Neurospora crassa OR74A: one gene and its partners. The protein of the gene in region 2 binds, or shares a complex with, the protein of the main gene of each other region. Links are inferred from orthologs where the notes say so. Each region holds a gene or a part of one and is shown on either strand. Other genes may lie near its edges.

Region 1 (3,479 bases), on a different chromosome or scaffold from region 2:
CCGTTTCCTCCACCGTACTACCCGCCGTTCTCAAGCACGCCGTCGACCGTTCGTTCAACAGCATCACGATCGATGGCGACACTTCCACCAACGACACCGTTGCCCTGCTTGCCAATGGTGCTGCTGGCGGAAAGGAAGTCGTTGCCAACACTCCCGACTACGATGCCTTCCAGACTGTCCTGACCGATTTCTCTACCGACCTTGCCAAGCTGATCGTCCGTGATGGCGAGGGTGCCACCAAGTTTGTTACTATCCGCGTTGTCGAAGCTGCTAGCGAGGAGGCCGCTAGGAAAATTGCCAGCACCATTGCCCGTTCTCCCCTGGTGAAGACTGCTCTCTACGGCAAGGATGCCAACTGGTAAGTTGCGGAAAATTATCCCATGCGTTTCGGCAGCTACTGACGTTGTCATTAGGGGCCGTATCCTCTGCGCTACTGGTTACTCCCTTGTTTCTGAGCCCGGCCTTCCCGTCAACGATGTTTCTGAGGTTGTCCCTGAAAAGACCAATGTTTCTTTCATCCCCACTGACGGCACTGCTGAGCTGAAGTTGCTCGTCAACGGCGAACCCGAGCAGGTTGATGAGGCTCGTGCTGCTGAGATCCTCGAGCTTGAGGACCTTGAGATCCTTGTCAGACTCGGAACTGGTGACAAGCAGGCTACCTACTGGACTTGCGACTACAGCCACGAGTACATGTAAGTTGATCCGCCCTCATTCGAGTTTGGGTGACGACTGCTGACATAAGATCTGAATAGTACCATTAATGGAGACTACCGCACGTAAGAAATCACTGATAAGGCGTTACTGGTACTTGGGGAGGATACCCGGAGGTAGACAGGATAGAAAAAGCTCATTTATGCCATACTCTGTGCCCTCCCCTTCTTTATTTCGTACTCTTCCATGATATGCACACGTCGCCCGCCACCCCGACCACACATTTCGGATCTAACTACGCTCCGTAATACACTTTGAGGGTGGTTTGCGCAACTTAAGCATGGAGGTAGCGAATCCTGTAATGGGAAAGCACGCACATTTGTCGAGTTACTCGAAGGGATGTGCTGCCAAAGGCCTCTGGATAGATGTTTGTGGCAACGTCAGACTAAGCTCTTCTCAACGCTGGCTTGAACAGAAGCTTAGTCTAATAAGAGTTTCAAAACCTCCAAGTCCGAAGGAGCCATCACGATTTTTTTTGGATTTTTTTTTTCTTTGGTTTTTTTTATCCCATCAAGACAAACGAACAAGGTCGGACACTGAGAGTTTGCTAGAAGCACTCCTAGGGTTAGGGTATGACGATCTCGGCCAGACCCATGCAAAACCACTTAAAATCGATAAACGCGACGCGTCGCGCCGCTCCACTGACCTTTTCCTCCAGACAGCTCAGAAATCGTAAACCAACAAACAACACATCGAGGATCGCAATACTTAGAAATCTGGGGGTTTGAAACAGGCCATCCGCACAAGAAAACTTCGATTATTGTCCACCCAGAATGCCATCAGCCAAAGCAGAAGAGAGGGGCGAGTCCTCAACCTCCATCTCCAAGGCTGCAACCTCGGTCTCCGCAAGCTCTTCCCCGACCTACGAGCTACCATGGTGAGTCTAATCAGGATTCAATGAACTCTCGATCTCCATAGGGCATCAGGCTGACCAGCAGTTACGAACAGGGTAGAAAAGTACAGACCAGTTTTCCTTGACGATGTGGTCGGCAACACAGAAACGATCGAGCGCCTCAAGATTATCGCAAAGGAGGGCAACATGCCCCATTTTATTATTTCAGGCATGCCTGGTATCGGCAAGACGACGAGTGTTTTGTGTCTGGCAAGGCAATTACTAGGTGATGCGTACAAGGAGGCGGTACTGGAGTTGAATGCCAGTGACGAGCGAGGTTAGAAAAGGACAAGAGCATCCAGCTCTGTGGCTATGAGCTACGCCAAACAACACAAAAACCCCCCCATACTGACATACCAACCCAAAAAAACAAACAGGCATTGAAGTAGTCCGCCAGCGCATTAAAGGCTTCGCCCAGAAGAAAGTCACCCTCCCCCCAGGTCGGCACAAGATCGTAATCCTCGACGAAGCCGACAGCATGACCTCGGGCGCCCAACAAGCGCTTCGCCGCACAATGGAAATCTACTCCAACACCACGCGCTTTGCCTTCGCCTGCAACCAATCCAACAAGATCATCGAACCTCTGCAATCCCGCTGCGCAATCCTGCGCTTCGCCAAGCTCACCGACGCGCAAGTCGTCAAACGCCTGCTGCAAATCATCGAAGCCGAAAAAGTCGAGTACAGCGACGACGGCCTGGCCGCGCTGGTCTTCAGCGCCGAGGGAGACATGCGGCAGGCGATTAATAACCTGCAATCTACACACGCCGGCTTCGGCTTCGTGAGCGGGGATAATGTCTTTAAAGTTGTGGATAGCCCGCACCCGATCAAGGTGCAGGCGATGCTCAAGGCCTGCTACGAGGGTAATGTTGATGCGGCTCTGGACGGGCTGCGGGAGCTGTGGGACCTGGGGTATTCCAGTCATGATATTATCAGCACCATGTTCAAGGTCACAAAGACGATTCCGACGCTGAGCGAGCACGCTAAGCTCGAGTTTATCAAGGAGATTGGGTTTACGCATATGAAGATTTTGGAGGGCGTCCAGACACTGTTGCAGTTGAGCGGGTGCGTGGCGAGGTTATGTAAGTTGAACATGGATCCGAAGAAGTTTGCGGTACCGAAGAAGTGAATAAGGGGGGGCTTCGCGAAGAAAAGAAAAACAAAATTGCGAAGGGGGTGATCCTGGGGCAGGAATAATGAGGTTCATAAAAGATAATACCCGAGCGAAAGCTATGAATTGAATTGTTTACTCGGCGTTGGTTTTGATGTTTAGTCAACTGGCATAGCATACTGCACTACAGAGAAAGGAGTATAGATGGTTAGCATGTAGCATTTGCGGTGTAGCCGGCAGCGGAGCATGAAGTGTAGAGGATTCCATTGAGTGGATAATATCCGGATGCGTCGTTCCTCGTGAGATGTGCAATTTACCCAGAAAAAGGTAGTAGGTATATGGAACATGGCATGTGAACTTTTGGTGCCGTCATTGAATCTTTTACTTTCCAATTTATATAGCCAACCCGGTTGCCCGGTACAGTGTGTAAATATTTTCCAGACCCGTCCAAACCCTCAAAAATCTCCATTCAAGAAGAGTAACAGAAGAAGTCGTTCATCGACACAATTTCAACATGTCAATCTCATTCACAACACATCCGAAAAAAGAAAAGGAGATTATCGCAATCTGTAAGTTCTTCGAGATGCCCAACACTAATATTTTTCTTTCACACAGAAACAGGCGACAACAAATCCAGAGGATAATACCTCCCGTTGACCCTAGCCCCACCGTTGCGTCCCCTCTCGGCAGCAGGCTCCCGGCGATGAGGGTCAACAGAGTGTGTCCTCCTAGACGGCTGCTGCTGGGTAGATATCTTTCGACCTCTAC
Region 2 (3,569 bases):
TGACTCTTTTTTTTTTCCCCAGGAACCACCCATGCCCCGCCAAAAAGTTTCCTGCAGGGCGGGTTAGGGGCAACTTGAATGCGGAGTCCATTCAGCTGCTGGGCGCGCCCCGGGCCCTGGGCTGTTGTAGGCGGGAGGGGACGTCACGCAGGTGGTGGGTAGGTAAGTTACATACATTGAATGAACAATGTGGGGAAGCTGGTGAACACCAGGAACTTCATCGGATGAAAAAAAAAAAAAAAAAAAAAAAAAAAAAAAAAAAAAAAAAAAAAAAAAAAAAAAACAGTCGGGTGGAAGATTTCTGGAAAACACGCCGACTGACGGGAAGTGGTGATGTCAGTACTGGTGTACTTGTGATTGAACCCACTTCTGAGATACCTACTTTCAACGCCAAGCTGAACTCCCGAGAAGCGATGATTACCATAGTGATACAGGGAGGACAGTTTGCCGATATCAATGTTAGAAACCATCAGACAAAAAAAAAAAAAAAAAAAAAAAAAAAAAAGGAAACGACAACAGCATCGGGTTCCTTGGTGAAGGTGTGTTGTTGGAGGCCATCGCAATAATCATTGACACCTCGTCGTCTCCCCTAAACATTCATCTTCGCAGCAGAAAGAACAAAACGCCCTCTAAAACATTTGTGTGTAGTGTACTAGTGCCAGACTCTTTCAAAAACACAGATTTCTTTTTCTTCATATCCCTTTTCTTCTTCTCATCACTGCATCACCCCTTATCTTCTACATGACTTGCAATTCTCCTCCTCCCCATGATTTTATAGCAACTCGAGGTATACATGAAGGCATAGTTTCGTGGTGTTCGTAACAAAGATGTGGTTCGGTTGTTGGAGGTAAATGGGGCGTTTACTCCTCGTCGCCAATCTGTGAATCAGAACCAGTTAGCATCACGCCTGACAGAAAACAACCACCCAGAAAATGACAAACAAAGACATACCTTGGGCGCAAGATAGAACCTCAAGTAGCTGCTAGCCGAAATGTTGTACTCGACCAAAAGGGGCACCTCGTTGGAGAGGCAGATCTTGACCGTGCTCGACAGCGCGCTCGCCTTGCAAAAGTTGACCAGGTACTTGAGCGAGAACGTGAGGGAAACCGGCTCGCTCAACTCAATCTCGATATTCTCGCTGGGCTTATCAACGTTGGTGTGCTGGCGGAGGGTAATGCTGCCGTTGCCAATGTCGCCCTGGCAGCTAAACTTGACGCCGTCCTTGCTCGCCTCAATGTTGACGCTCTCGCTCATGGCCATGAGGTCGGTGGTGATGCGCTTAAACTCAGAAGACGGCATGCTGATGGTGGCCGCGTACTCGGTATCCGGAATGCCCAGGTGCTCCTGGTCAATGTCCATGAGCTTGAGGTCGTACTCGGAGATACGGTCGTTTTCGGAAGATTCGAAGACGAGGTTGAGCACGTCGGGCGCGTCCTCGGCCTTGAGCGTCAGGATGTCCTCGTTCTGGGCGGCGCGGAGCACCTTGGTCAGCGACGTCAGGTTGACGCCGAGCGCAATGTTGCGGTCGCACCGGAAGGGCGAGAAGGTCTCCGTCTTGAGCATCATGGACACGAGCGCGACGTGCGAGTTGTCCATGGCTTGCAGGGCGATGCCCGAGTCGTTGCAGTCGAAGTTGCAGTCCTGCACGAGGTCCTTGATGGCGTCGACGACCTGGACATCATCGTCATCATCATGACAGAGTTAGTGGGGGTCTTCTAGCTGGGAAAGGAAACAGACAGCACTTGACAGGAAGAGGACATGACATACCTTCTTCAGGATCGACGCCTGCTCCAACCGTGCTTCAAGCATTTCTGTTGTTGTGGTAGTCCTCCAGTCAGCAACCCATCACTCCAGTTCTCCAGCTTTTCTTCCTAGTGCCGGGCCAGCGAGCAAGCGAGCAGGCAGCTTCACGCTCAGACAGAGACGACATACTGATGGATGTGAATTACCGAACTCGACGGGGGAAAAAAAGACAAAGAGGGAAGAAAATATGCGCGCGCTGGGTATCACTTTCGGGAGAGAGAGGCGCTCGTGGTTTGACGAAGAAAGAAGAGAGAAGAAAAGATTTGGATTTGGGAAGAGTTATGGTTTTGTTCAAAAAGCTGCAACAGGCAGGCAATGGACGATAAAAAGAGAGGAACCACCAATACCACAGGTGGTGCCGGGACACCCACTTCGCGACTTGACGCGCCTGCTAATGGCAGCTAAACGCGCTGAGCCGGGGTTAGGCTTAATTGATTTACCGCTTCAGGCTAGCTCCCGGTGCACGGTCCCGTTCTCCAGCGCTGTTAGTCCGCTTTCAGGCGCAATCTTCGCGTTTTCAGTGGGAGCTGTCGCCCTGAATCCCCTCTTTCTGTTTGGATCGTGTCTCGACGGCAATGTCGAACCAAAGGTATGCTGCTCACTTCAAGTTCCGATGATATGACTTCAACTATTCGACTCCCTCATTTCTGCGCGAACTCTGTTCTACCTCCATTCTCCAATATATTTTGATTATTACATTATTTCACCTATCTTACACCCTCCCCCAACTCAAAAAAGAATTTGTTACAGAATGCCCGCCCAAGATCGTCTGTATAAACTGTGTAAACGCCGTTAAATTCTGTGTCCCACATTGCTCGCTTGCCTGCCCCAGCTTTCAAATGTTCCCATGGTCTGTATGTCCGTCAAAACGCCATTCTACCCAAAGTTGTTGTTGTTGTTGCTGTTGTTGCTTTTCAAGAAAACTGGCAAGCTGACCTTCTCGTCGTTGTTGTTCGCCCCTCTCTTTTGTCTGCGCGCAATGCCTTGATGCCATGTAAGATTATAGTGGTCAAAGAAAAGAAACCCGAAAGAAAGACAGCGCGAATGCCGCAGAGTTTGTCTGTCGTCATAAAGAAATCCTCGTCGGCGCCGCACTCCTGCCGTTTCCCCCGCCTGGTCCCATGGTTGTATGTCTCTTCGGCCTCAGATTAATCACCATCTCCAACTCCTTCAACATGCCCCTACTCGCTTCCGCCTTCTCTCTCTGCATTGCCCTCATCTCTCTCTCCTCTTTCATTTTCACCAATCTCTCTTCCCTGGTCAGCATACTCCTGGGCCGAGCCGATAGCGCAACCGCCTCAAACACATCCGGCTCGTTGGGACTTGGCGAGGAGTTTCGTGTGGGAGACGTCTCCCCGGTGAGCGCTTTCAGCGCATCCTCCGCTCCGCCGCCGGTTTCGTTCTCTTCGCCGACAGTGGTCAACCCGCTTAGAGAGGTAGCAGGCGAGTACAGCATGCTCATAGACGAAATACGTTTCTCGTTGCGGTCGATTCCCGATGCTAGGGCAGCCTTGCCATCCTCCCAGGCTTGCTGCAGCATCTTGAGGTCTTGGCCAATGGACTCGTATTGCGACAGGAGGTCGAAACCAACTTCAGAGATGTCGTCGGCTTCGTTGAGTGCTTTCTCGGATTCTTCACGCAATAGTGCCAGCTTGGCTTGGAGACCGCGGATGCCCGTCGATAGAGAGTCGAGCTTGCGGAATTGCGTTCGGCGTTTCTCGCGGTTGGGCGAAAGAGGGAACTTGGTTTCGGGGATAGCGGGGAAG
Region 3 (3,428 bases), on a different chromosome or scaffold from region 2:
GGCGATCGCAGTTTGCATATCTTCTTCTTGATGCTGCTGGCTGCGGTGGGAAACGCGGTGGCGACGGGCACGACCAAGGTGGGAGCACGGTTCTTTGCCATGTTCTTGATGCCCATGGGAGCAGTTTCTTCTTGTGAGTGGTTTTTTCGTTGCTTTATCGTAGTTCCTGGTGAAGGTGAGGACTAACAGACCCACAGACCAAATCATCCTGTCGTGGGTTGCCAACTCGTTCCCTCGTCCCATGGTCAAGCGCTCGGCTGCTGTGGCTATTGCCAACATGTTTGGAAACACAGCGAGTATTTACGGGTCATACATGTACCCGGCTTCGGCGGCGCCACAGTACATACCTGGAGGTAGTGCAAATTCTGTAATCTGCCTTTTTGTGGGATTGTTGGCGTTGTTCTTGCGCTACCTGCACAAATGGGAGAACAAGAAGCTGGAGAGGGCCGAGGCGGAAGAGGCTGAGAACCCAGAGACTGCGGCTGTTGCGGCGTCGGGTGATAGGAGAGCAGCGGGATTCAGGTACATCTATTAAGCTGGATATCATTAGCTAGTCTCGCGATGAATAGTGATTACTTATCCATCTATATTTCTTGCCGTATTGTAGCTCTCCGTCGTGATATCCCCCTGCCGTAGGAAGAAAGGGGCATAATATAAAAGGTGGAAATGAGGAGTTGGTAACTTCAGTCGAAGAAGGTAAAATTTGATCGATTGCCCAAACGCCAGATGCTTAAACTCCGAACCATAGATGCAGACAAAACAACACCGAGTAGCTTTTTGCTTTTGAGTCTCAACAACAACAACCCTATCCCATCAGTTCTACACCATTCCGTATCGCACCCACTACCGCACCAGTCTGGATCACCTCTCCGGCTCCGCTCGCTACCCGATGCTCAATCTTGGCAAGTTCATCAAGCCATGTGATCATGACCTGCGGCTTGACTTCCAGCTTGACGATCTCTTCCGACAGAGCGGTGATAATGTCGGCAAGGGCCAAACCTTGTGCAACCTTGAGGGTGTTGATAGTCGACAGACAGGTTGTGACGTCGCTCGTGCTCAAAAGTGTGCTGAGAATCTTTTTGATGGCGTCGGGTGGTGGGGCGGCAACGCAGTCGTAGATGGTTCGAATGGTGATGGTTTCCCGTACAATGTCCTTTTCGGCGATCTTGGGGGCGTTCTTTGGTTGGAGTGGTGTGCCTGGTTGACCTGGGTTAGCTTGAGGCCCGCAACAGAAGGCGAGACGAGGACACCACCACTTACTTGACGCGTGGCAAGCCTGGAGCACGTTTAGTGCCCGACGCATATCACCCTTGCTCAACCGCACCAGCGCATCGGTAGCATCTGGCAGAATCTTGACGTTTTCCTCGTCAATGACCTTGTCCACCAAGACACGAATATCTTTTTCTTTTAGAGGGCTGAAACGGAACCGTGTGCATCTCGACAGGAGGGCTGGGCTGAGCTTGTGGGAGTAGTTGGCAATGATGCAGAAGCGAGTGTTGGCCGTGTACTTTTCCATGATGCGACGGAGGGCCATCTGCGCTGTGGACGTCATAGCATCGGCCTCGTCGAGAATAATAAGCTTGAAACCAGCCAGCCCCGAGCGCGAAGAGGAGGAGCCGAGGGAGAAGATCTGCTTGGTGGAGGCAAAGGTCTTGATTTGCTCGCGCACAACGTCGATACCACGGTCATCGGAAGCGTTCAACTCGAGCACCATCTGGCGCATGTTGGCGGCGCCATAGATTTGTCGGGCCAGGGCGAGAACGGTCGATGTTTTTCCGGTACCGGGGGGACCGTAGAATAGGAGATGGGGGAGTCGGTTCGTGTCGACAAACTTGTTGATGGTTGCGAGAATGTCTTGTTGGCCAGACACATCGGAGAGGGATACGGGGCGGTACTTCTCGACCCTGTCACAGGCTGGTTAGATATTTGATAGGCATATGAAGACATATGGGGGGCAATATCTACCATGGGAGACTGTCTTCTGCTTCAACAGGCAGGTTGGCAGCGCTTCGCTTGCCCTTGGCCGTGTTGGTGGCAGCGAACATGACGTCCTTGGACACTGGGACATCAATGTCCATTTCGTCTTCAAAGTCCGACATGGTGGTAGAATTGGGCTGGGTCGCTGATGTCGAGGCTGATGTGATCTGAAGTCTACTCTGGAGGTTTTGCGCCGACGTGAACTTTATGGTTGGGTGGTGTTTTTTACTTGGTGAGGCCGGGAAAGTGAAGCTGGGAAAACGCGTCGAGAGGAAGGACAGACGCGTCGGGCAACAGGCCCCTCGTGTGGCTGGTTAATTGGTTTTGGGCGCTGAGCCACACACGGTTAGTGGAGTATTGGTACCCCAGCCACAGTTTAATGAAGCTCAACTGTTCTTCCACTCATTCATCCATGGTCTCTGTTTGAAAACTTCAACTTTACAACCTCAAAGGCTCACCCTCACTTCACTCTCCTTGTTCTCTAGGATGGAATCTCTTCACATGTGGACATCCTCTTCTCTTAGTGAACTAAGTTTACTGCTCTCTTTCCAATGAAATTGAACCACCAATCACATCAACGTTCCCACTCCAGTTCTGGGTCGGGACGCCAATATTGAGGATGCCCGACCAAGTGACTCCTTTGGCTACCAGCCTCATCACTCCGTCTCATCCCAACTCAAACCTCTCCCACTTATCTTCAACTCGATCCCAGGTATCTCTGTACATTCGGCCCACACCCGCACGCTCAATGCGAACCCGACCATCCGTCCTTGGATCATCCTTTCGTTCGATCATCATGACGTTGACCACGGCTCTCTTCTCGGCTGTTGCCGCTTGCACCAGTTCCTCTTGCTCGAACTTGTCTGCGTCTGAAAGAAGAATGAACTCGTGTGTACCCTTCGAAATAAGACTCAACCGTTGTTCAACGAACTTTCTTCGGTGGGACCACGACAACCATATGGATCCAATCCACTCGTGATCACCTCCCTCAGGATGTGTCGCATGTGTGATGGCATACCGCGTCAACCGTGTTGGCCGGACCCGAGGTAGTGGAGGGACCGCATCCTCATTGCCTCGGTCCTCAATCATGAGTCTGAACCGAGCGACGCGAGCCTTCAGGTGTAAAAAGTAGGGGTCCGGGCCAAGGCTGATTTCTGCTTGATATCGACCAGTGCTGTTGGCCGAAAAGTCAGCACCCGAGTCGTAGTAGACTGGTATAGTCCACCCGGCCCATGCCCAACTTGGCCACAGGGGTCTTTCTGTCTTCTCATCCATATGGATTCTCTTCGGCTCCCGTCGTGGTCGCCAAAGAAGCCCTGGATGCAGGAGCTCCCCCGTGGGCATCCCGTGCACAAACTCGACATTCTGAGAAAAGAAATGATCTTTGATCACGTTCAAGATACCTTGGATTCCATTCACGCGGTCGGTTATGAATGTCATATTGCGACATG
Region 4 (4,198 bases), on a different chromosome or scaffold from region 2:
CTGCGCTCTCTCGCCGTCGTACTTGTACTCGCACGTGAACGTCTGGCCCTCGAAGCGATCGAGCACCTCGGTGATGGCCTTGGTTGGGTTAGCCAGCATGGGCTTGAGTGGCACGCCCGGGCGAAGCTTGCAGTGCTCGCGGAGGTTCATGATGCCGTGCTGGAGCATGGCGGGGATGATGACGTCGTAGCTGGGCAACTCGCTGTAGACAGTCTTGAGGATCGACTCGGCTTTGCTAAAGTCGGATTCGCTGGGGATTTTCCCCTTTTGGGCGAACTCGTGTGCAATCATGGCTTGCGCCAGGGAGACAATGACGGACTTCTCTGCTAGCCCCAACCGCAACTTACCCTCTAGGAACCGGACGATGAACTTGGCCTCGCTGGGCCCGCCCTTGTCCTTGGTGATGTCCACCTTGCCAGTCGAATTTGCGTCCGCAGCAGACAAAAGCTTCTTGATACCATCCACCTTCTTCTGCTGGGCACCTGTGCCCGTCATAGTCGTAGCGATATCCATCAACCCTTTATGCACACCGCGAATGGTCAACGGCTTGGGCTTGAACATGGTCGGCTGCTTTGACCTCGACTTGACAGCCACCAGCCCCAGATCACCAATTTCCTTCTGGTCGTTCTTGACAACAGCGATGCTACGGCCCGTAGTCTCGCCGATAGCCTTCATGATGAGCGACTCGCCAATACCCAGCTCGATACCTGCATAATCCGGCGCAAGCTTGTTGATCATGAGCAGGACGGTAGGCAGCAGATCGTCGGGCGTAAGACGGAGGACTTGGCGCAGGAAAAGAGAGCAGTACTCCATGATGAGTAGTCTCTTCCGCGTCTGCTCAATGAGCGAAAACGTCGTGCAGAGGGCGGCATAAGGAACAGGTTCGCCGGCCTTCCAGTCCGGGTAGGGGTCCTTGACCTTGGTTGCGAGTGTGGTCTGGATGACCTTGCGGGCCTCTTTGGCAACTGCTTCGGTCTTTTCGTCCTCGTCTTCCTCTTCGGCTTCGATTTCGGATGCGGATGCTGAGGATGCCTCCGCATCATTTGCCTTTTCTACCGGTGCGGGAGAGGAACTTTTCTTTTTTAGTGCCGGCTTGGGTGATGCTGCTTTTTTGCTCTTCTCCTCCTTCACCGGCGCAGAAGACGCGGGAACATCTTCCATGGTTTCGTCCTCGTCGTCTTCAACCACCTTGCGACTTCTCCTCGACCGCTTGCTGGCAGGCGCAACATCCTCCGAGTCCTCCTCGGTCTTGGCCTTTTTCGATTTAGGGCTTTTGGTCGTCGGTGACCGTGACCTTTTCTTCTTGTTGCCTGCTTCGTGTCCCAGTCGTTAGTCACCATGCCACCAACGTCACGTTCAAGGACGTAACTCACCTGTCTCCTCCTTCACCTCCTCCACGACCTCCATCACATCCTCGTCCTCCTCTGCGCTGCTTTTCTCCTTAGCTACCTCCTTAGCAACTTCCTTCCCCTTAGCCGGCCTTCCCCTCCCCCTCCCCGTCTTGGCAGGACTCTTATCCTTGATCTTCATCTCCTCCACCTTCTTCTCTACCTCTTCATGCCCCCCATCTTCGCCGGCAATCTCGTCCTTTTTGGGTTCTTCCTTCGTCTTCGATGATGTTGTCGACGTCGCTTTCGTGCCAAAAGACAATTTTGTCTGCTGTTTCCCGCCCGCCGGGGCGTCTGCCTTGCCGAAGAACTTGCTGCAATGGGTTTTGTCATCTCGTTAGCCTCTTGTTCTGCCAGTACTTCAGTAGGGGAAGGGAAGGGAAAAGGGATAGACTAGACTCCAAAAAATGGTGATAGTAAAGTGTGTAAACCGGAAATCGAACAATGTGTCTCTCTCCAGAATTGGAGGTTTCAAAATCGTCTTTTCAAAAATTGTTTTCGATATTTGTCTCCAAAAAAACAAAACGAAAATGGTTTCCAAAAACGTTTTGCGATCAATCATTCGATCCGTTACGCACTCAACTACTAACCCCAACGTAGTCTGCCTCCCTCCCCTCGGTTTATCTTTAACGTACCCCAACGTTTGCTGCTGCTTGGGAGGCATTTTTGTGCCGGTATCTCTGGGGTTGTTGTTCGTGATGTTGTTGATGTTATGTATAGCGTAACTAGCGTAATTTCTTCGTCCTCCTCCTAGTCGTGTAAGCCCAGCAAGTCCAACTGCTGATAACAAGTTCGCTCCTCCGCCCGGTGAGGTTGTCGAAGCCGAGTTCGAGTTGAGACTTAGTCGACCAAGTGATGATCCGAGGAGGCCAAGTTGAGAAGAGGGAAATTGATTTGTCTTTGTCTTTGCGATTCTCGCCCGAGTTTTGTTCGTCGCCAACCCAATCGCCGCAAAATTCGTCGCAGTCGAAGTCGAAGTCGCAGTCGGTAGTACCGCAGAAGCTGGAGCTCCCTTGCTTCTAACAAGCAGTGGGAGAAATCGTCTGGGCGCCAGGATTGTCGAACTTTTCTTTCTTTCCTCCCACGACGGATCGTTCGTCCTTTTATACCAACAAATACCTAGGTAGTCTTCCAATCCAGTAACCTGGTTACCAACAATACCAATTGAGAAAAATAGGGCCTGCTGCTGCTGCTGCTGCTGCCTGTTTCTGCCTGGTATTGAGTCGCAGTCGGCGCGCTTTCCCTTAGGTTATGGAGTTCCCTGCTGCCGTCGTCGTGTACTAGGTATGTAGTAGTGTACCGAGTGTTGTCCCTACTTACTTACGCCGCGCGCTAAACCTTTTATGACGTGACGCGCCTTTCTGTCCATGGTTCCTTAACGCGATCCCTGCTACCTTTCCCGCTAACAAAAAGTCCAGGCAACCGTCGCGTAAAGTGGCACGGTCACATGAGACGCATTTCCCTACATTACCTAGTGTAGTATTTGCTTAAGGCTCTGTGCTTCGTTGTACATACACTAAAGCAATAGTCCCTACTATTGTGCGCACGGGTGACAGCAGTCAGGGACCCCTTGCTGTGCGGGCGAAATTTGGGGTAGCGCCTACCGTCGCAACGTAAGCGCCAAGCACCGCCCATCAATTTGATCTCCAAATCTCCAACAGCTCAAAAATGTTGGGCTGAGAACCCGATTTGATACGACAGACAGGGCTGGCAATTCGAGGCTGGGCAGGGAGGGGCAGGCTGCGATACGATATCGGACCTCATCTCACAAGCCCAGTCATTCAGCTGTTGCATCATAACAAGACAGCTATCTTGAAAGCTTATCAATTTCATAACCCGCCTTCCCTTTCCCCATCCCTTTCCCCTAAAACCTGTCTAGATATATATATATATATATGTGTTTGTGTGTGTGGTTGTGTTTGTGACTGTTTTGCGCTACGCAGAAATGTTTTATTATACAAGGAAAATGGAAAGAAGAAGTGACGACCGTCCATGATGGCCGACGTAGATAAAAGACGCCAGCACCATTTTTGGTTTTGTGATATGCATCAGAGGAAAGGACAAGTTTCTTGGTTGTAACTTGAAAAAACCCATCTAGTTTGTCATTACTTCTGCCTCTCTACTCAATTTTAACTTTTTTAGTGCTTGAAGTAGAAAAGCTCATCAGGGGTACGGCCACGGATGAAGTCGGGCTCGGTACCCTTGACGTAGATGTCCTCAAACAGAATCTGCTGGTTGGCCTCCGGAGGAGGCATGGCCTCGGCGGCGGCAACCTCCTCGTTGACGTAGGCGCGAGCCTCCTTGTCGAGGTTCTTGAGCTCCTCCTCCGAGGCAACACCCCACTCGAGAATGTGCTGCTTGAGGCCGGCAATAGGGTCGTTGGTGGAGCGCATGCGCTGGATCTCCTCACGGGTACGGTAGGTGGTGCCGGGGTCGGACATGGAGTGACCACCATAGCGGTAGGTGACGTACTCGAGCACGAGAGGGCCGTTGTCGTTGTTGGTCCACTGCTTACCGTACGCGACGGCAGCCTTGACGGCAAGGACGTCCATGCCGTTGACCTTGAGACCGGGGATGTACTGGCCACGCTTGTAGTAGTCGGTCAAGGCCGACGAGCGGGCGGCAGAGGTACCCATACCATACTTGTTGTCTGCACCATCATACATGTCAGTAAGAGTATCTAAGACCATGAAACCTGGGCTACTTACTCTCGCAGCCGAAAAGGGCAGGGAGGTTCCAGAGCTTGGCCATGTTGAAAGACTCAAAGACCTGACCCTGGTTGCTGGCACCATCACCTATAACAATGTATT

Evidence for each region.
Region 1: the proteins of pcn (region 2) and NCU10467 are in contact, whole or in part, in a crystal structure (PDB 1SXJ), measured with the Saccharomyces cerevisiae proteins. The link is inferred for Neurospora crassa OR74A from reciprocal best matches to the Saccharomyces cerevisiae genes POL30 and RFC4. Residues at the interface, in NP_009645.1 of Saccharomyces cerevisiae: Leu25, Asp71, Ser74, Thr95, Pro96, Asp97, Lys117, Leu118, Met119, Asp120; in NP_014547.1 of Saccharomyces cerevisiae: His95, Gln98, Lys99, Lys100, Leu101, His102.
Region 3: the proteins of pcn (region 2) and NCU08427 are in contact, whole or in part, in a crystal structure (PDB 1SXJ), measured with the Saccharomyces cerevisiae proteins. The link is inferred for Neurospora crassa OR74A from reciprocal best matches to the Saccharomyces cerevisiae genes POL30 and RFC3. Residues at the interface, in NP_009645.1 of Saccharomyces cerevisiae: Val40, Asp42, Ser43, Arg44, Val45, Leu46, Phe125, Lys127, Glu129, Lys210, Tyr211, Glu232, Pro234, Ala251, Pro252, Lys253, Phe254, Asn255; in NP_014109.1 of Saccharomyces cerevisiae: Lys73, Asn74, Ser76, Asn77, Asn95, Gln96, Asp99, Phe100, Ala101, Ser102, Thr103, Arg104, Gln105, Ile106, Phe107, Lys109, Lys112, Asn140.
Region 4: the proteins of pcn (region 2) and NCU06481 are in contact, whole or in part, in a crystal structure (PDB 2OD8), measured with the Saccharomyces cerevisiae proteins. The link is inferred for Neurospora crassa OR74A from reciprocal best matches to the Saccharomyces cerevisiae genes POL30 and CDC9. Residues at the interface, in NP_009645.1 of Saccharomyces cerevisiae: Ser43, Arg44, Val45, Leu46, Leu47, Leu126, Ile128, Thr206, Gly208, Tyr211, Glu232, Ala233, Pro234, Phe249, Leu250, Ala251, Pro252, Lys253, Phe254, Asn255; in NP_010117.1 of Saccharomyces cerevisiae: Pro36, Lys37, Gln38, Ala39, Thr40, Leu41, Ala42, Phe44, Phe45.

Annotation. Positions count from the first base shown.
Region 1 is NC_026505.1:3,556,592-3,560,070, reverse strand, and holds NCU10467 (replication factor C subunit 4), read left to right. Parts: upstream 1-1,375; 5' UTR 1,376-1,484; coding exon 1,485-1,588; intron 1,589-1,659; coding exon 1,660-1,880; intron 1,881-1,980; coding exon 1,981-2,729; 3' UTR 2,730-2,968; downstream 2,969-3,479. Other genes in the region: arg-4 (arginine biosynthesis argJ), read left to right, coding at 1-358, 414-692, 753-780; NCU01294 (hydrolase), read right to left, coding at 3,319-3,479. UniProt on the Saccharomyces cerevisiae protein: Component of ATP-dependent clamp loader (RFC and RFC-like) complexes for DNA clamps, such as the POL30/PCNA homotrimer and the checkpoint clamp DDC1:MEC3:RAD17 complex.
Region 2 is NC_026501.1:9,446,994-9,450,562, reverse strand, and holds pcn (proliferating cell nuclear antigen), read right to left. Parts: upstream 2,169-3,569; 5' UTR 1,933-2,168; intron 1,812-1,932; 5' UTR 1,810-1,811; coding exon 1,768-1,809; intron 1,672-1,767; coding exon 952-1,671; intron 879-951; coding exon 861-878; 3' UTR 506-860; downstream 1-505. Other genes in the region: NCU09240 (hypothetical protein), read right to left, coding at 2,870-3,569. UniProt on the Saccharomyces cerevisiae protein: This protein is an auxiliary protein of DNA polymerase delta and is involved in the control of eukaryotic DNA replication by increasing the polymerase's processibility during elongation of the leading strand. Involved in DNA repair.
Region 3 is NC_026502.1:4,032,089-4,035,516, reverse strand, and holds NCU08427 (activator 1 subunit 3), read right to left. Parts: upstream 2,231-3,428; 5' UTR 2,100-2,230; coding exon 1,966-2,099; intron 1,905-1,965; coding exon 1,261-1,904; intron 1,198-1,260; coding exon 806-1,197; 3' UTR 536-805; downstream 1-535. Other genes in the region: NCU08428 (MFS transporter), read left to right, coding at 1-133, 198-535; NCU10392 (hypothetical protein), read right to left, coding at 2,644-3,428. UniProt on the Saccharomyces cerevisiae protein: Component of ATP-dependent clamp loader (RFC and RFC-like) complexes for DNA clamps, such as the POL30/PCNA homotrimer and the checkpoint clamp DDC1:MEC3:RAD17 complex.
Region 4 is NC_026503.1:1,560,127-1,564,324, forward strand, and holds the start of NCU06481 (DNA ligase), read right to left. Parts: upstream 2,812-4,198; 5' UTR 2,053-2,811; coding exon 2,024-2,052; intron 1,703-2,023; coding exon 1,374-1,702; intron 1,311-1,373; coding exon 1-1,310. Other genes in the region: ace-2 (pyruvate dehydrogenase E1 component alpha subunit), read right to left, coding at 3,527-4,038, 4,097-4,183. UniProt on the Saccharomyces cerevisiae protein: DNA ligase that seals nicks in double-stranded DNA during DNA replication, DNA recombination and DNA repair. The mitochondrial form is required for mitochondrial DNA maintenance but is non-essential while the nuclear form is essential for cell viability.